Macaca fascicularis: one gene and its partners. The protein of the gene in region 5 interacts with the protein of the main gene of each other region in a biochemical or structural test. Links are inferred from orthologs where the notes say so. Each region holds a gene or a part of one and is shown on either strand. Other genes may lie near its edges.

What was found.
Region 1: the proteins of PRMT1 (region 5) and BTG2 form a complex in vitro, tested with the Homo sapiens proteins (2 studies listed by BioGRID). The link is inferred for Macaca fascicularis from reciprocal best matches to the Homo sapiens genes PRMT1 and BTG2.
Region 2: of the proteins of PRMT1 (region 5) and KHDRBS1, one has a biochemical effect on the other in vitro, tested with the Homo sapiens proteins (2 studies listed by BioGRID). The link is inferred for Macaca fascicularis from reciprocal best matches to the Homo sapiens genes PRMT1 and KHDRBS1.
Region 3: the proteins of PRMT1 (region 5) and HABP4 form a complex in vitro, tested with the Homo sapiens proteins (2 studies listed by BioGRID, with this or other methods). The link is inferred for Macaca fascicularis from reciprocal best matches to the Homo sapiens genes PRMT1 and HABP4.
Region 4: of the proteins of PRMT1 (region 5) and UBAP2L, one has a biochemical effect on the other in vitro, tested with the Homo sapiens proteins (2 studies listed by BioGRID, with this or other methods). The link is inferred for Macaca fascicularis from reciprocal best matches to the Homo sapiens genes PRMT1 and UBAP2L.

Annotation. Positions count from the first base shown.
Region 1 is NC_088375.1:61,129,395-61,133,676, reverse strand, and holds the start of BTG2 (protein BTG2), read right to left. Parts: upstream 2,858-4,282; 5' UTR 2,770-2,857; coding exon 2,628-2,769; intron 1,337-2,627; coding exon 1,002-1,336; 3' UTR 1-1,001. UniProt on the Homo sapiens protein: Anti-proliferative protein; the function is mediated by association with deadenylase subunits of the CCR4-NOT complex. Activates mRNA deadenylation in a CNOT6 and CNOT7-dependent manner. In vitro can inhibit deadenylase activity of CNOT7 and CNOT8.
Region 2 is NC_088375.1:202,998,395-203,001,992, forward strand, and holds part of KHDRBS1 (KH domain-containing, RNA-binding, signal transduction-associated protein 1), read right to left. Parts: intron 2,392-3,598; coding exon 2,245-2,391; intron 1-2,244. UniProt on the Homo sapiens protein: Recruited and tyrosine phosphorylated by several receptor systems, for example the T-cell, leptin and insulin receptors. Once phosphorylated, functions as an adapter protein in signal transduction cascades by binding to SH2 and SH3 domain-containing proteins.
Region 3 is NC_088389.1:126,607,904-126,611,501, forward strand, and holds part of HABP4 (intracellular hyaluronan-binding protein 4), read right to left. Parts: intron 3,516-3,598; coding exon 3,353-3,515; intron 1-3,352. UniProt on the Homo sapiens protein: Ribosome-binding protein that promotes ribosome hibernation, a process during which ribosomes are stabilized in an inactive state and preserved from proteasomal degradation.
Region 4 is NC_088375.1:106,904,500-106,908,097, reverse strand, and holds part of UBAP2L (ubiquitin-associated protein 2-like), read left to right. Parts: intron 1-568; coding exon 569-767; intron 768-2,422; coding exon 2,423-2,700; intron 2,701-2,864; coding exon 2,865-3,037; intron 3,038-3,598. UniProt on the Homo sapiens protein: Recruits the ubiquitination machinery to RNA polymerase II for polyubiquitination, removal and degradation, when the transcription-coupled nucleotide excision repair (TC-NER) machinery fails to resolve DNA damage.
Region 5 is NC_088393.1:57,657,562-57,661,159, reverse strand, and holds part of PRMT1 (protein arginine N-methyltransferase 1), read right to left. Parts: coding exon 3,566-3,598; intron 2,891-3,565; coding exon 2,803-2,890; intron 2,723-2,802; coding exon 2,607-2,722; intron 1,065-2,606; coding exon 914-1,064; intron 557-913; coding exon 435-556; intron 1-434. UniProt on the Homo sapiens protein: Arginine methyltransferase that methylates (mono and asymmetric dimethylation) the guanidino nitrogens of arginyl residues present in proteins such as ESR1, histone H2, H3 and H4, FMR1, ILF3, HNRNPA1, HNRNPD, NFATC2IP, SUPT5H, TAF15, EWS, HABP4, SERBP1, RBM15, FOXO1, CHTOP, MAP3K5/ASK1, MICU1 and NPRL2.

The DNA of each region.
Region 1 (4,282 bases), on a different chromosome or scaffold from region 5:
GAGTTCCCTGTAGCTTTTGAGCCACCTCTCAAAGGGATCATGGCAGCAGCAACAAGACTTCCATGTGGTTCCAAAAAGAAGAGTTTGGCCAAAAAACATCCCCAGTGGATACTCTTTGGGTCCCAAAATTCCATTGCAAATCACCCCCAAATTATTTGCCACACATACACACAAAGCAGCACTAGCAAAGCAAAGGTTTTGTGCAGAGTTCCCTCCCATCCTAACCCCAGTAACTTCCAGTTCCCTCCTCCCCCCTCAGAAACAAAACAAAACAAAACAAAAACCCCCAAAGCTTTAGATTCCTGGCTGGAGAGCAACATCTATAGGCCCCTGAGGGTAGAATTAGAAACAAGTCATGATTTCAAGAAAAGCTGCTTAGGACAGTAGGAATCAGGAGAGGCCTTTTCACTCTCTGCCCAGGACCTCATTAGAAAATTAAAAGAAATATAAAGTATAATTAAAAAGAAAAAGGAAAAAAAAAAGATAACATAGTATTATTTAAGTCTAGGCATGAATGCCCCTGAGTAATAGAGGAGCCAGGGATGCAGGTGTCTGGCTGGGGGAGACAGAGAGTTCTGAACTTGGCCTCTCTTCCTCCCCCAGGGCAAATCCCAACCTCTCTGTTCACAGTTGCTAATCTTGCTCGCTCCCTCTCCCATCTTCCTGGGGCGCTAGCCAAACGTCTCCCACTTCACCTTGGCTAGGTCTACCCCCTAACAGCTCCCCCTCCTATAGGCAGACACTGGCTCACAGACTCAAGCACACACAACAGTTCTCTCCAAAGGCACCTGGGGAGGCCACTTCCAAGCAGCTCCCTTGAAGGATTTTTTTTCTTAAAAAAAATCTTTTGGTTTTTTTCCTCCTCTTTTCTTAAAAAAAAAAAATAATATATATATAAATAGCTCTTCATTTAAAAATACAGTTCCCCAGGTTGAGGTATGTGGTGGCCTGTTGTCACGGCAGCATGAGCACGGCGGCGCCCAGGGCGGGGGCGGAGGGGTCTAGCTGGAGACCGCCATCACGTAGTTCTTGGAGGGGCTGCTCCGGCCCAGCAGCACTTGGTTCTTGCAGGTGAGGAGCCCACAGGAGGCGGCCACTGGGGCCTCCTCGTACAAGACGCAGATGGAGCCGTCCTCCCCAATGCGGTAGGACACCTCATAGGGGTCCACCCACAGGGTCAGCTCGCTGGGCAGCAGCTGGTGCAGCTGGGGCTGGCTGAGTCCGATCTGGCTGGCCACCCTGCTGATGATGGGGTCCATCTTGTGGTTGATGCGAATGCAGCGGTAGCCCGAGCCCTTGGACGGCTTTTCAGGAAACCAGTGGTGTTTGTAGTGCTCTGTGGAGACAGGACGGGGGGAGATGCCCTGGTTAGAGCAGCTGGGCCATGGATACTACCACAGAGCAGGGAGGAGGGTCAAGGAACAGGAGAGGAAGGGGCCCTTTAAGTAAGGGAGGTGGATTCCTCTGAGTTCCAGGACCCTCTTGCCACTTAGCAGAGAAAATTTTATGGAAGCGGGAGAGATCTGCTTTCCTGCTTCCAGAACGTGTGTGTGTGTGTGTGTGTGTGTGTGTATGTTGGGAGGGGATTCCAGAGCTCTGGGGTACTCTCCAGTGGCCAGTGTATTGCTTTTGGCACACCCCCAGTTTCAGGAGGGAAGGGTGTGACTGGGGCTGGCATGTCCAGGCAGGGCCTCTGGAGACCTGTGAGCTGAAGTTTCAGGGCCAGGAAGGCTGCCAACATTGTTGGGTCCACAGCAAGTAATTGGGCCTCCCACCCTGTGTTCCCTCTGCTTCCTTCAGAAGAGTCAGGGAACCTTCCTTAGCAGTGCCCAAGGGAGTGAAAACTGGGTTGTTTTGATGAAACATCTGTTTTTCTCAGAAGGCAGGGTCTGTGTGGGTGCGTTCCGAGATGGCTATCGCTTCCCCAAACTGACAGCAACCAGCTAGAAACAGCTGGGAGAGAGGTCTCTCCCCAGCCAGCGAGCGGGCTGCTTATCTCTTCACCTCCCAACTCGAAGGCCAGCAGGGCAGGGTCACCAGCTACCAGGCTCTCCTCCCTACCACAATAGGTGGCAGATGGCTAAGGGGAACCAAAGAGAACACAAAGGGGGCCCAAATTCCAACTTGAAGCGAGTCAGCAACCAGTGGACTGCCCCAGGCACAGCGCACCCCGACCGGCAGGAAGAACGGCACTGGGACTCCGAGTTGTTGAAAAGGCTCGACTGCACCTTCTTCCCTCATCGGGACCCCTCGGCCGACCGGGCGGCCCGCAACAACATCCATCGAGGGTCTTAAGATCTCGAGGGTCCAGCGAGGGAGACGAGCCCGTAATGAGACCGGGACATAAGCTGGGGACTCGGGCTGGCACTCCAGGACCAGGGTTTGCGCCTCCGAGAGCGTGGAGGGGCGCGCCCCATCAGAACAGCCACGGGCCGAGACCCGAGCACAGGGTTGGGGAGGAAGACCCAGGAAACTGGGGACTGCGGGCCGCCCCGGGGGTCGGAGGAGGGCCACCGAGTCCCAAAGCTGCTCCTGTGGGTGACCCTGCCGCAGGAGTAAAGGAAAGACGGCCCTGGCAGGAAGGGGGCCGACCCCCGGTGGCGCCAGGCCCCTCGGCACGCGCTCACCTGTGAGTGCCTCCTGGAGCGCCCCGCTGAAGACCTTAAGCCGCTGCTCGCTCACGCAGCCCCGGGTCCTCAGGAGGCTGGAGAGGAAGCCTACGGCGGCGGCGATCTCCGGGAGCATGTCGGTTCCCTTCCCGTGGCTCATGTCGCGCGCGGCTCGGGCTCAGTGAGAGGTCTCGGGTGGGAAGTACGGGTCCACAAGCCAGCGCTGCCCTGGCCGCTGCTCGGGCTCTGCCCGGACTTTCCCCGGGCCCCCTTTTTCAGGAGGTCCAGGGAGGTGGGGACAACCGGTGGCGGCGCTCATTGGCCGCGGCCAACGGATGGGGGCGGGGCTCGGGCCCGCCCCGCCCCGCCCCGCGCTCCGGCGCTCTTCCCCGCCCCCGCCACCCCAGCCCCCGCCCTCGCAGCCTTGGCGGCGCTGAGGTCATCGCTCGCTGACGTCAGTGCTAGGAACCTGCGCCCGGCTGAGCTGAGCGAGACGAGAGGAGAAAGCGAGGCTCGGGGAGGAGGCTCCCGAGTACTCCGCGCCGGGCAGGCCCCGGCCTCGCCTCTCCTCCCATTTTTAAGGCTCGGGTTAGAGGCCACCTCCTCCGAGAAGCCTTCGGTGACACCACCAGAAGGCTTCCCAGAACCGTTCCCAGGTGGTTCCCCTTTCGGATTCCCACAGCATTTTCCAACCATACACGGTCAGAACCACTCACCAGGACGTGTTGTCACCATTTTACCTCTTTGCCTCGTCTCTTAACTAGATGAAATGGGTTCCTCTTGGCTCTTTGGAAAGGGAGGCTGTCTTCTGCTTATTTCCGTAGTAATCCCACCTCCCACAACAAGTTCCGTTCTGCAGCAATGCCTTTTCTCTTGCTGAGAAACATTCAAGTCTAAGTTTTATGGTGGATAGGGGTAGGGGGTGTGTTGCAAGACTTTTGTCTTCTTAACTTATTTTTCTAGTTCTCACTTTCCTTAAGTGCTAATTTTTTTGAATTAGTAGTCTGCTCTCAACTGTACATATTTTTCCGTCCACTCCCTCCTTCCCCAGCCGTCTTCCTTCCTTATTGTGGATTGGACCTTCTCGAGAAAGAATCCGGCCTCAGTCTCCCTCTTCCACACTCAGGGACCGCCACCATCACAGGTACTCGGTGGATGCCTTCCGAATGGGGATAACTTCTACCCAACACCCCGAAGCCTGGCCCAGGGTCTGGCATACAGATGCCCAGTGTTTGTAAGGTGACTCAAACCCAATGGCCTCTGTAAATTCCTATTTTCCTTGAACTCTGAGCCCTCTGACCACCTTCTGGAAGCAGTGTCCCTGTCCTTTTTCCTTATGCCCCAGGCTTCTCCACCCCACTGCCTGGCTGTGCTGGCCCTGGATCCCTTCCTGCCCCGTTCCCCACACTATGTCTCCTCAGTCCTCCTCCCTTTTCTCTAGGCTGCCTTTCCTTGGAGAGGTCCTATGCATGTAGTCTGCCTTGATGTTTACTGTTTTACAGTGACTTTTCTCATCTGCACAGTCTGTCCTCCTGTCTTTCCATCCTGCTTCTGTTCCCACCAGCTCTGTCCTCTCCCTCAGATGTCCAGCCACCACCTCAATGTGAGCGGAAGCCCATTGTCTTCTCCAAAGCTAGCTCCCTCTTGATCTCCATTTCTGTCAGCCATACCAT
Region 2 (3,598 bases), on a different chromosome or scaffold from region 5:
TAAGTGTCTCTTGAAAAACCTTCTCTTGATGCCATTCCTACAACTCCTCTTTTCTCAAAGTACCACGTAATTCCCTACATGCAAGCACTTACCACATCATTTTAGAATTGTCTGTCACTAAACTGTAAGCTCTTCAGGAGCCATTTTTGTAACTTTACACCGAAGCATAGTATCAGACATCTGACAGATATTTAAGAAATGTTTGGATGAAAAACCTGAAGTTCAGAAAAATGAAATGATAACCTGTCCAGGAAGACATACAGAGACAGATATACATGGTCCAGTGCTCTTTCTACTGCACTGTGAGGCATTACTGGTATAATTAATTATTCTAAGGGGAAAATGGAGGGCTCTGGTCACAGATGCAAAAATAATCTCACTTTTTTTTCCTCCACAAGAGGGAAAAATCAAGCCAAATGCCATTTGCAAATCTTTTCACACTTCCTGTTGAGAGCCATTCAGTCTTAATACTTCATGCATTTTTACACATCCCAGATGTATACAGTTTCCATAGATGATGCTAGTCTTTGATGCCCCCCTCAATTGTCTGGCTCCTCCTACCTTACACATTACTGCTGCTTGAGACTCACACCTTGGAGAATCAAGTAACTAATGCCAGACCATTCCTCAGACTCCTCCAACTACCACAGCAACACTGAGGAAACCCCCATCTCCCCGGCAGGCATCTTTTTCAAAAGATTCACTTACATGGAAGCCTCATAAACCTAAGCCTTCTGAGGAATATGAGGGAGACTAACAATAAAGAGAGAAGATGGGTATTCCCTCTGCAGTCCTTTGGAAATTGAATGCTTGGGTGATCAATAGAACACCCCAAAAAGAGTAAAAAGAATTCCCTTGAGTAAGATTAACCAGCTGTGTTTTTCTCTAGGATATGTCAAATGGTCTGTTTCACGTCGAACATTCTAATGAAGATGAGGTACTTGAAAGCAAAGCAGCTGCGAAGACATTTGAGACTGTTGGCATCCTTGGAGTTCAGCATTACGGGTACAAAATGCCTGAAATTTTTATTTTCTTTGGAAAAGGAGTTTTACTCTTGTTGCCCAGGCTGGAGTCCAATGGCACAATCTTGGCTTACCGCAACCTCTGCCTCCTGGGTTCAAGCGATTCTCCTGCTTCAGCCTCCTGAGTAGCTGGGCGCCACCACGCCCAGCTAATTTTTAGTAGAGACGGGGTTTCACCACGTTGGTCAGGCTGGTCTCGAACTCTCGACCTCAGGTGATCTGCCCACCTCGGCCTCCCAAATTGTTGGGATTATAGGCGTTACCCACCGTGTCCGGCCCACACTGCCTATAAATTTTTGCTCTATCAATTTTCACATCCTCTGACACTACATTTAGTTCCAACTCCCTCATTTAACATTCAAGAAAACCAAGGACTGTATCTTACCACCTCTCAGTTTTCTGATGAACACATGACACTTACTCAATTCTAGTTGAATAATATTCCAAATCCTTCATAAGCTTCCAGATTCATCCTTGTTATTAAATATTCAACAGTAGTATGTTAACTCTGACAACCACCTGGCCTTGCTAAAAGGCAAAAACAGTACCATTTCCTATTTATTCAAAGTAACGTTCCAACCAAGTATTTAAAGATAGTAATAAGCAAGATAGATAAACTGGCCTGTCCTATCTCTATCTAGTCCTCAGTTATAGTCTGAAAAAAGCTGCTCACCAATCTGTGAAACATCAACAGTCAACCTCTTCCAAACCAAACTCATCCTCAGCAAACTCCTCCAGGAAAGAAATCCCTGAGTGTGCTCAGAATTTAACTCAGTAACACTAGATGTTATAAGCTTCTTGCTGCTAGCCTCTACTCTCTACAGCATAAACTTCTTGAGTGCAGGGACGCACCTTAGTCACCTTCTTAATACAATCTCCTTGTTCCACACTACTACCAAAATACTCAGCTAGGTGAAGACCCTGTTAAACCGTAGTTAACCAAGTATCAGAATGCAGGCACATTGTGGACCCGAGATACTGACAACAGATACCGGTACACAATGACTACCACATTAGACAAGGAGGGACAGAGTGGCCTTGGAGCATAATGCTTGGAGAACTAGGTACAAGCAATGAACTACCGCAGGAAAATGAACATAAATGCAGAATTTGGTATACATACAGGTTATGCAGAGACCTTAGTTAAGAAACCCTACCTTCACAACAGCATAAGATCCCAGTTCTCTTTTGCTCAGAAGACACAGGATATGGATTTCCTTACCGGTACTAGAAATTTCTTGACTTCCTCCATGGCATGGGCCATAAGAGCATAAGCCTCACATGGGGGTCCAAAGACTTCAATGAAGACATGCAGATCCATATTCAAGTGGGCATATTTGGGGTCTCCACCTTTGCGCAGCTCTTCCTCCTATGGAAAAATGCAGAGAAACGTCACACCACATGGACTAGGGAGAAAACAACACCTTTACCTCTAAGCCAAAGGAACAGCAAGAAATATCCCCAATGTCTAATTAAACTAACAGTAAAGTTTAATTGGTATGAGCTGAGAAGAATTAAAAAAAAAAAAAAAGAAAGAAAAACAGTAAAGTTTAAGAAAGTAAAACAAGCAGCCAGGCATGGTGGCTCATGCCTGTAATCCCAGCACTTTGGGAGGCCGAGGTGGGCGGATCACTAGGTCAGGAGTTCCAGACCAGCCTGACCAACGTGATGAAGCCTCACCTCTACTAAAAATACAAAAATTAGCCGGGCATGGTGGTGCTTGCCTGTAATCCCAGCTACTCAGGAGGCTGAGGCAGGAGAATCGCTTGAACCCGGGAGTTGGAGGTTGCGCCACTGCACTCCAGCCTGGGCAAGAGCAAGGCTCCGTCTCAAGAAAAAAAAAAAAGTGAAACAAGCTCTGAAGAACAGTAATTTGCACAGCCTGCTAAACTTGCACATGGTCTGCTGCTAACAGTTAATTGTCATCTTAAATCCCTGAGATATCCACTGGAGCTCTTACTAAAAGCATAAAGAAGAAAAACTTAATTCTAGTCTCTATTCAGATAATAGCTGTGTGCCAAGCATTTGTTTTTAAATCTCAGGTAGAGCTGTTAATCACCACGAGCTCTGCTTATCTGCTTATATGGTCTAGGGAGTGCTAGGGGAAGAAAGAAGTCAGGACAGAGAGAAGAAAAGCTCATGTAAATCTCATTAGCTAGAACAACACACTTCAGCCCTAACTATATGCATCTAGTAAGAAATGACCTGAGAAAACAAACACGTGTCCATTAGGCTACATAAAAGGAGGATTGAAAGAATAGGTTTTCGGACTGTAGCAGGCATATCTCATCAAATAAAGTGACCCCAGAAGGCTAAGACCATTCTGTTTTGGTGAGAAGTTTCTTGTCACAGAGTACACAGTATATGCGGCTATGGCATGGGAAAAGACTCATTAGATTCTGTAGTCAGGATTACTCATGGCTCCTTTTGGAATACATTCTTTTAGTGAGCCTCACATTCCAGCCGGCTATAAAACAAACCAACTAATCCTCAAACTCTTCTGCTCTCACAACACTATTGTTCTCACTTTTCCAGGTTACAAAAAAGGGGGTGTGCTGTTTGCCTTTTAGTGTCTT
Region 3 (3,598 bases), on a different chromosome or scaffold from region 5:
AGGGTTTTTGTATAAAGCAGGATGCTTGGCCCGAATGTTATTTTCCTTCTTTTGCTTGTGAGTTTGTCAGACATAAAACTTTCTATGTTTTATTTATTAAGAGTATTATTTAGGGCCGGGCGCGGTGGCTCACGCCTGTAATCCCAGCACTTTGGGAGGCCGAGACGGGCGGATCACGAGGTCAGGAGATCGAGACCATCCTGGCTAACACGGTGAAACCCCGTCTCTACTAAAAACTACAAAAAAAACTAGCCGGGCGAGGTGGCGGGCGCCTGTAGTCCCAGCTACTCGCGAGGCTGAGACAGGAGAATGGCGTAAACCCGGGAGGTGGAGCTTGCAGTGAGCTGAGATCCGGCCACCGCACTCCAGCCTGGGTGACAGAGCGAGACTCCGTCTCAAAAAAAAAAAAAAAAAAAAAGAGTATTATTTAAGAAACTAGGCTGGGCGCGGTGGCTCAAGCCTGTAATCCCAGCACTTTGGGAGGCCGAGGCGGGCGGATCACAAGGTCAGGAGATCGAGACCACAGTGAAACGCCGTCTCTACTAAAAAAAATACAAAAAATTAGCCGGGCGCGGTGGCGGGCGCCTGTAGTCCCAGCTACTCAGGAGGCTGAGGCAGGAGAATGGCGGGAACCCGGGAGGCGGAGCTTGCAGTGAGCCAAGATCGCGCCACTGCACTCCAGCCTGGGCCACAGCGTGAGACTCCGTCTCAAAAAAAAAAAAAAAAAAAAAGAAACTAAGAAAATGTTTTCTGATATCAAGATTCAAATTTCCTCGAAAATGAAAATTCCCTACATATCTGTACTGTGACGCACTGAGAACACGTTACTTCTGTGGCATTCCTGCCAAAAGTGCGCAATCTCGTTCCATGAGGAGACATCAGAAAAACTCAAAATCTGAAACATGTTATAAAATAACTGGCCCATGCTCTTCAAAATGCCAAATTCATAAAGACCAAGGAAGGCTAAGGAGCTGCTCCTAATTAAAGATGACTAAATACGACGCATTTACTGGAGTGGATCCTGAACCAGAAATGTTTTCTCTTGTGTTAAAACACATCACTGGGACAATTGGTGAAATCTGAGTAAAGTCTGTAGACTAGTAATTTAGACAATTAGATAACAGTATTGTATTCATTTTAATGAGTTTGAAAATTGTATCATGTTGTTAGAAAATGCGTTTAAAGTATTTAGGAGTAAGGGGACATTCCTACACCGTATTCTCAAATGACAAGAAAAGGCTGTGTGGTGCGGTGGGGCATGGATGATAAAGGAAATGTGGTAAATAGTGTGTGGGGAGTCTTGAAGGGCAGATGGAAATTCTTTGTATAATTCTTAAAACTCTTCTGTAATTCTGAATTTATTTAAATAAAAAAAAAACCCTCCATAATTCCATATCCCACCTTACTCTTCCATATACGTATTATTTCACTTAATAGCTATCTTTTCATGTCACATATAAAGATCTATTTTATCCTTTTTAAAGACTACATAGTCTTGCTACGAAAAAAGGGGGGAAACATGGGTTTGTGCAAGTCAACTATAATTTCTTCGTTTCCACAGAATCCCTGAAGTGAGGGGAAAATAAATACCCAAATGCTTCCGAAAATCAGCAGCTCTGCTCCCGGAAGCTTTGCAGAAGCAAGTAGACTGTGCTTACTACACAGCAGATCTGAAGTAATCACCAAAAAAGGGGCAAAATTAAGCCCTTCTGTAAGTTTCTCCCTCCAACATGGTTGCAGACAGACCATCTCAATGTCTTGAATGTGTAACTTCTAGGTGAACAGTTCTGCGTGAGTCATCACCTGCTCAGCCCACCCAGGCTAAGTTACTCTCTGCTGGACTGTTGTTTTGTTTTGTTTGTAATAGGCCCTGTAGTATAGTTTTACAAAGCCACATGTTTTGGTTAAAACTTGTAGCCACAATCCTAAATGGAATGGAATTAGCAGTCAAGAAGCAGAGTTTGGAAAAATGGCTCCCTTGACATTTCACTGTTCACTATTCTAGCCTTCCTTAGCCTGTTTAATTTTCCTTGAAATGTGATTCACTAGTTGTTTCTGTTTAACATAAACAGGTTAAATGATTAAACAGGCCGGGCGCGGTGGCTCAAGCCTGTAATCCCAGCACTTTGGGAGGCCGAGACGGGCGGATCATGAGGTCAGGAGATCGAGACCATCCTGGCTAACCCGGTGAAACTCCGTCTCTACTAAAAAATACAAAAAACTAGCCGGGCGAGGTGGCGGGCGCCTGTAGTCCCAGCTACTCGGGAGGCTGAGGCAGGAGAATGGCGTGAACCCGGGAGGCGGAGCTTGCAGTGAGCTGAGATCCGGCCACTGCACTCCAGCCTGGGCGGCAGAGGGAGACTCCGTGTCAAAAAAAAAAAAAAAAAGATTAAACAAAGGCTTTAAGCAGCAAGTACCCACCCTGCTAGTGCCAAGCATAAGACACAGCTCTGTTGTTCAGGTGGAGTGCGGCGGCCACCACACTGCCGCATCACTCAGCAGCCATGCAACACTCCACCAGCCCACGACTTCCATCCGTGTTAGGGGACTTCCGAGAGCAGCCATGCCTGCCAGAAACTGGTATTACACATCACAACAGAGTCTTCTTCAAATTTCACCGTGGCAGCCTACTGACCTGACCGTGGAGCTAGGAACTGACTTCAATCCATTGAGCAGTCGAAATTGGTAATGCGAAATCAAAAACCATAATTATATCCCTAGCCCAAAATTGTGTCTCTAATCTACAACTTCAAAACAAAACTTTACCAGTTCAACACCCTCCTGTGTAATTTCTTTTTAAGAGTGCTCTTCAGTTACCAATAAGCAATTCATTGTTAATTGTAAAATCATTTCCTGAACCAAGGCGTAAAGGAAAAAGGAAGATCCTTCGCATCATCTAAGGTAATATGAATTGCACATAAATTAGTAAAACATTCCCAGGACTGATAACACAAAAAGCAGTAGCCAGTAGAAAGTAGCATTTTCTGGACCAGGCATGGTGGCCCACTCCTGTAATCCCACCACTTTGGAAGGCCAAGGCGGGCGGAACCTGAGGTTAGGAGTTCAAGACCAGCCTGACCAATATGGAGAAACCCCATCTCTACTAAAAATACAAAATTAGCCAGGCATGGTGGTGGGCGCCTGTAATCCCAGCTACTCAGGAGGCTGAGGCAGGAGAATTGCTTGAACCTGGGAGCAGACGTTGCAGTGAGCAGAGATTGCGCCATTGCACTTCAGCCTAGGTGACAAGGGTGAAACTCTGTCTCAGAAAAAAAAAAAAAAAAAAGAAAGTAGCATTTTCTAAACACCTTTCTGGTTCCCCACCCGCCCTGCCGAGGACTGCAGCACGTACTTTTCATCTGGAAACTTCTCAGCTGTGAAGTCCGCCTGCCTCTCGGTCTCATAGGGTCGGTACTCCCTGTAGGGTCTCCGCTCAGCTCTTTCAAGCATCCCCTCTGGCCCACGGCTGTCATTCCATCCTTGCTGCTCCCCTCTTCTAGGAGTCCGCTTCTGACCTACCAACAGAAAATCAAAGCAGAGTTGGAACACAGCATCTGCAACAGCACAGTATTCAACTTTACAGTACTTGTAAATTTCA
Region 4 (3,598 bases), on a different chromosome or scaffold from region 5:
TGGTGGCCAGTGCCTGTAGTCTCAGCTACTCGGGAGGCTGAGGCAGGAGAATGGCGTGAACCCAGGAGGCGGAGCTTGCAGTGAGCTGAGATAGCGCCACTTCTCTCCAGCCTGGGCAACAGAGTGAGACTCCGTCTCAAAAAAAAAAAAATTCTCCAGTCAGCAGAATTTTATCCCTGAGAAGCAGGAAGAAGGAAGTAATGATGATATAAAACTTATATAAAGTTTTAATGGCTCTCTTTTTTGAGTGATGACTATGTGCCATGCATGTATTAAGTGCTTTAATTTAATCCTCATACAGCTTTACTTTTATTCCTATTTCCAGATGAGGAAAGTGAGGCAAAGAGAGATTAAAAAATAATTTTTCCAAGCTTACATAGCCAGGATTTCAATCTAAGACAGTCTGACTCTAGGTCCTATACTCTAGTGGACTACGCTGTATACCCAGTGTGACAGTATTCTTTACTTGCTTGATCTATACTGGCGCTCTGTCTGGATAAGTGTCTTTATGATTAGCTGAACAAGGTTACTGGCTGTAGGTTTCTCTCATCTCTTTATTGATCTACAGGTGAGCATGTTAGGGAAAGGATTTGGTGATGTCGGTGAAGCTAAAGGCGGCAGTACTACGGGCTCCCAGTTCTTGGAGCAATTCAAGACTGCCCAAGCCCTGGCTCAGTTGGCAGCTCAGCATTCTCAGTCTGGAAGCACCACCACCTCCTCTTGGGACATGGGCTCAACGACACAATCCCCATCACTGGTGCAGTATGGTGAGAAGATGGAAAGTGACTTGAATCTTTAAAGCATTGGAGCATTACTGTCAAGAGGCTAGCAGGGGGAGGGGGTGGAGAATGTGTCCTGAAGTGAAGAAAAGGGGAAGCTAGTTGATTACCTTCCTACATGTATTTCCCCTAATCAAATAAGCTGAATTCAGAAAGTTGGGGAATAATAAAATTTGAGGCTATATATTTCTCATCAGATTTAGAGGCTGGGCATGGTAGCTTACACCTGTAATCTTAGCACTTTGGGAGGCTGAAGTGGGAGGACAGCCTGAGCCTAGGAAAAATCGTTTTCAATTAAATGAGCGTGGTGGTGTGCACCTGTGATCCCAGCTCCTAGGGAGGCTGAGGCAGGAGAATTGCCTGAGCCCAGGAGGTTGAGGTTGCAGTGAGCTGTGTTTGCACCACTGTACATTAGCCTGGGCTGCAGAGCTAGTGTGTAGCTAGCTTTTCTCAAAAAAAAAAAAAAAAATTTTAACCATATACATACTTGCAGTCTTCTGTTGATTGGGGTTTTAATTATTATTCTCCTTAGATTTATCTTCAGTGTTTGAAAATAACATATTGCCTTTAGGTTCATAGACTTCGCCATCTTAAGATTTTATACAGTAAGTCTTCACTTAATGTCATTGATAGGTTCTTGGAAACTGCGACTTTTTGCGAAACATAAGACAAGGTCTCGTTCTGTCATCCAGACCGGAGTACAGTGGCACTATCTTGGCTCACTGCAGCCTCATCTTCCTGGGCTCAAGCAGTCCTCCCACTTGAGCCTCCTGAGTAGCTGGGACCTCAGGCTTGTACCACCGTGCCTGGCTAATTTTTTATTTTTTCTGGAGATGGGTTTTCACCATGTTGCCCAGGTGTGTGTCGAACTCTTGGGCTCAAACAATCTGCTGGTCTTGGCCTCCCACAGTGATGGGATTGCAGGCACGAGCCACTGCGCCTGGCCATTTTTTTTTTTTCCCTCATCAACATTATAATGAAATCATGTTGAAGGAAACTGTTATTCAAAGATGTGCCATGCATTGTTTTTGCTTAAAGCCAGTTTCCAAGCACCTATGGATGATGTTAAATGAGAACTTGCGGTACTTTAAACTTGGACAATTTGTGCATTCCTTTCTTACACAGGCTGGGTAATGGTGTTGATTTAATTAGGCTTTATTTAAGGATGGATGTAGGCCAGGTGCGGCGGCTCATGCCTGTAATCCCAGCACTTTGAGAAGCCGAGGCGGATGGATCACTTGAGGTCAGGAGTTTGAGACCAGCCTGGCCAACGTGATGAAATCCCGTGTCTACCAAAAACACAAAAATTAGCCAGGCGTGGTGGCACGCACCTGTAGTCCCAGCTACTCTGAGGCAAGAGAATCGCTTGAACCCAGGAGGTGGATGTTGCAGTGAGCTGAGATTGCGCCATTGCATATTGCATTCCAGCCTGGGTGACAGAGCGAGACTCCATCTCAAAAAAAAAAAAAAAATGTAATCCAGTGATTGTCACCTATAGAAATGAGATTAAGCCCCGAAAGAGGGCCTGCTTATATGAGTTTCTGATTTTTACAGTCCTCATTCATGGTGCTAGTGCAGGATAATAGCATTTCCTTGAGATTCATCAGCATCTCTGGCTTCATATTCTGGGTTTCCTCTTGCAGATTTGAAGAACCCAAGTGATTCAACAGTGCACAGCCCCTTTACAAAGCGCCAGGCTTTTACCCCGTCTTCAACCATGATGGAGGTGTTCCTTCAGGAGAAGTCACCTGCAGTGGCTACCTCCACAGCTGCACCTCCACCTCCGTCTTCTCCTCTGCCAAGCAAATCCACGTCGGCTCCACAGATGTCGCCTGGATCTTCAGACAACCAGTCCTCTAGCCCTCAGCCAGCTCAGCAGAAACTGAAACAGCAGAAGAAAAAAGCCTCCTTGACTTCTAAGGTACTTAAACTTTTAGGTAGATAACATCTTATGGCAAGGGGTGTGGGGCTTGGAAATTGAGATTAAAAGGTAAGTTTAGAAATTTAAAGGGAAAGGTTTTTTTGGTCTTTAGTAAGGTTGTATTAAAGCCATTACTTTCTCTTCTCCTTCACCTTTCTCTATAGATTCCTGCTCTGGCTGTGGAGATGCCTGGCTCAGCAGATATCTCAGGGCTAAACCTGCAGTTTGGGGCATTGCAATTTGGGTCAGAGCCTGTCCTTTCTGATTATGAGTCCACCCCCACCACGAGCGCCTCTTCAAGCCAGGCTCCAAGTAGCCTGTATACCAGCACGGCCAGGTAGAGGAAACATTAGCCATAAGACCTCTCTTATTAACCTTTTACTACTTTTTTAATCTGCGGGTAATTTTTAGAACTCTGGAGAGGCCAAGCCTCTCTGCATGGCTGGGGGAAAATAGTCAATCATAGCACTTTGAGTGCTTTAAAATATTATTATTAGGGTTATCTATAACTAAACAGGTAGAAATATGCCCCCTAGGGGCTGGATGTGATGGCTCACACCTATAATCCCAGCACTTTGGGTGGCCAAGGCAGGAGGATTGCTTGAGGCCAGGAGTTCAAGACCAGCCTGGGCAATATAATGAGTCCCTGTCTCTACAAATTTTTTTTTTTTTTTTTTTTTTAAACACAGAGTGTCACTCTGTTGCCTAGGCTGGAGTGCAGTGGCACGATTTCGGCTCACTGCAACCTCCGCCATCCGGGTTCAAACGATTCTCCTGCCTCAGCCTCCCGAGTAGCTGGGATTACAGGTGCCCACCACCATAACCAGCAAATTTTTGTATTTTTTAGTAGAGATGGGGTTTTACCATGTTGGCCAGGCTGGTCTAGAACTCATGACCT
Region 5 (3,598 bases):
CTTTCTCCTCCTCTCATGCCTCCCACCTGGGCTAGCAAACCCTGTGCGCTCTACCGGGGCCGCCTCTTGCCCTGGAGCTCACCCACGCCAACACCTGTCTGCCCTGCTCCCAGCCTGACAGAGGTCACCTCCCACTGGCATCACCATGTCACTGATCCCCTTGTGTAGACTGGAAGCACCAGGAGGACAGGGCTTTGGCCTGGGTCCCCAGGCCCATCTTCCAGTAAATGCTAAGAAATCTGCTGTGTAGACAGGCGTGGGGCTGAGGGGCTCAGGGACCCGGGAACAGGCAGAGGCACTCGCCCCTGCCAGCTGCCCCCATCCGCCCCAGCTACCCCCATCCCCTACGCTGCCACCATTCCCCCCTACCACTGCCCCTATCCATGCTCCCCACCCCGGCTGCCACCCTCCTGCCCAGCTGCCCAGAGCCTCACGTTGTTCTTGGCATTGGGCCGCATGCCGATGGTGCCGAAGATCTCCTCGCCCGTCTTCACGGTCAGGTAGTCCTCCATGTAGAACACTGTCTGCTTCCAGTGCGTGTACGGGGACTCAGGGCCTGGGGGCGCAGGCGGGTCAGCTGGCCTTGGCCTGCTGCCCTGGCCCCAGTCTTGTGTTCCCTCTGTTGGAATGTCCACCCCCCTGACAGCTGACGGGACTGCTGTCCGTGAGTCACCTCCCTGTCATTCAGCTTTGGAGACAGGGACCGTGTCAGGCTTTTGTGGATGAGGAAACTGAGGCACTGCACACTCAGATCACTTGCTCAAGGCCACGTGACTGCTACATGGCAGAGCTCACGCTGGAACACACATGTCCCCATGGCTCCCTCTGCCCGTTTCTGTCACCCCCTCCACTATGTGGGTGCCCCTCGGCCCTGGCTCAGGAGCAGCCCCCAGCCCTGCGGGCCCCGCCTCACTGGTGGAGAAGCCCGTCCTCTTGTGGCAGCGCGTGAACTCGATGTTGAAGTAGGCCACCAGGGCGTGCACGTAGTCATTCCGCTTCACTTGCAGGCAGAACGGGGAGGTGAACGTCAGGTCTTCCACCTTGACGGTGTAGATGTCCACCTCCTGCAGGACAGGAGAGGGTGAGCTCCGGGATGTGTCCCCACCTCGCTTCATCCCCTCCTCCCTCCCTCAAGCTCCCAGAGGGCCTGTGACCTCACTGTCCCCTTCCCGCTGGCCCTCCCTTACTGGCACCCAGCCTCAGCTCCTCATTCACTCCTCATCCTGACTGTCCGGCTCCCAATAAACCGCCTCGGTTTGAGCCCAGATTCTTTGCTCCCTTCTCTCCCGCACCCAAACCTGGCGCCGCCACCCTAACTCTGTCCAGAGCCCACCCCGCCCCGACCCCACCTGGCCAGACCTCCTGGGAATGCAGGCACCCTGCTCCCCCCTCTCCGCGCTCCCCCCTCTCCGCGCTCCCCGCTCTCCGCGCTCTCCGGGCCGCGCTCCCCCTCTCCGCACTCCACCCTCTCCGCGCTCCCCCCTCTCCGCGCTCCCCCCTCTCCGCGCTCCCCACTCTCCCCAACCCTTCACAAGTCCACCAGCATGATGGCTTCAAACGGCAATCCAACCGAAAACCCTGCACCAGTTCCGCTGGTTCTCAGGAGGGTGGCCTGGGTGGGGTCCCTGCCCCTCCAGTCTCCTCTCCATTCCCACTCAACAGCTTCCTCCTCCCCACAGGAACCCCCGGCCAACCACCCAGCTTCACCCGGCTCACACATCCCAGCTCAACAAATACTCGTTGCCTTATTTTTTTTTTTTTAAACAGGGTCGGCCGGGCGCGGTGGCTCAAGCCTGTAATCCCAGCACTTTGGGAGGCCGAGACGGGCGGATCACAAGGTCAGGAGATCGAGACCATCCTGGCTAACACAGTGAAACCCCGTCTCTACTAAAAAATGCAAAAAAAAAAAAAAAAAAAAACTAGCCAGGCGGGTTGGCGGGAGTCTGTAGTCCCAGCTACTCGGGAGGCTGAGGTAGGAGAATGGCATAAACCCGGGAGGCGGAGCTTGCAGTGAGCTGAGATCCGGCCACTGCGCTCCAGCCTGGGCGACAGAGCAAGACTCCGTCTCAAAAAAAAAAGAAAAAATAAATAAATAAATAAACAGGGTCTCAGAAGTTAAAAAAAGTTAAAAACAAAACAAAACACTGTCACCAAGGCTGGAGTGCAGGGATGTGATCACAGCTCACTGCAGCCTTGAACTCCCAGGCCCAAGAGATCCTCCCGCCTCAGCCTCCTGAGTAGCTGCAACCACAGGCACATCTCGGATCCCAGCCTGGCCCCCTGCTCTTCTGCAGCGTGTGCACCCGCTCATCGCCCCAGGTCCTGCCTTCCCGTGTACGGGCTGTGGGCTTTAGCTACCAGCTGCGGGTGTGTCCTCTGCCGGACACCAAGTGCCAAACGTGGTTCTCACACGGCAGCGCTCACAAAGATGTTTAAAGGATGAAACGTCTTTCCTGGGCCCCTAGCACCACCTCTGGCTGGCAGGTCAGGCTCTGAGACCTCAGGCCAACACTCTGGGCCCCAAAGTCCCATGCCAGGGCCAGGTGATGGCCTCTCTTTGGTTTCAACCCAGGGGGCACCTGGCCATGCCCACCCCCCCCCCTCACCTTTATGAGGCAGGCATTGGTGACCAGCTGTTTGGGGTCCACCACATCCACTAGGGGCTCCTTGATGGCCACATCTTTGATGCAAGACATGTCGAAGCCATACACGTTCTCCCACCCTGGGGAGGCAGGCAGGGAGGGGGTGAGCCCGCGGCAGCCCACCCGGGGCCCCGCCCGCCCGCTCCTGGGCCACGCTCACAGTGGATCTTGTAGTCTTTGTACTGCCGGTCCTCGATGGCCGTCACATACAGCGTGGCCCGGTCTGGGAAGATGAGGCCATCGGGCGCCTGCAGAGGGGCAGGGCGAGGCATGAAGGGTGGGGCCTGGCAACGCTGCCCTGACTCTTGCCCCCGAGATGTGACCTTCTGCCCTGGTCTGAGCCACCCTCATGTCGCAGCGGCACTCACCCCTCACCCCCTGGTCTATTTCCCACACGGCCGCCAGAGGGCACCCAGGGGCACCTCAGTCAGCTCCTGTCCCTCGAGGTTCTGGGGATCCTCAGACCCTCCCTGGCTGCTCTGAGAGGAAAAGCAAAGTCGCGCGGGGTCCCATAAGGCCCCACAAAATCTGCACATGCCCTGTCACCCCTTACCTCCACTGCTCCTCCTGCTGCCCTTCTAGACCCTCCTTCCACACGGGCCTCCCTGCTGCTCCACATGCAGCAAGGGAACACCTGCCCTGGCCACCCCTCCACATCTTCATCCAGCTCTCGGTCACCTCACCTCTCCCGGGGCGGCCTGCTGGGGCCGGAGAACCTGGTCTAGTGCCCTGCTATAGTTTTCCTGTTCCTACAAACCCCCCCACATCGCACCATCTCCCACCAGGGTCTGTCACACCTGGCTCGGGCTGTGGCCTTCTAACACCTTGCAGCCACACCCCCATAGTAAGTCCCGTCTGTGGGAAAAATTGAGTGCTTTTGGCCCCCAGCCCATGCGAGCTGCACCCGTCTGCTGGGGCCTCACCAGCCACTTGTCCCGGGCGTAGAGCACGGTGTT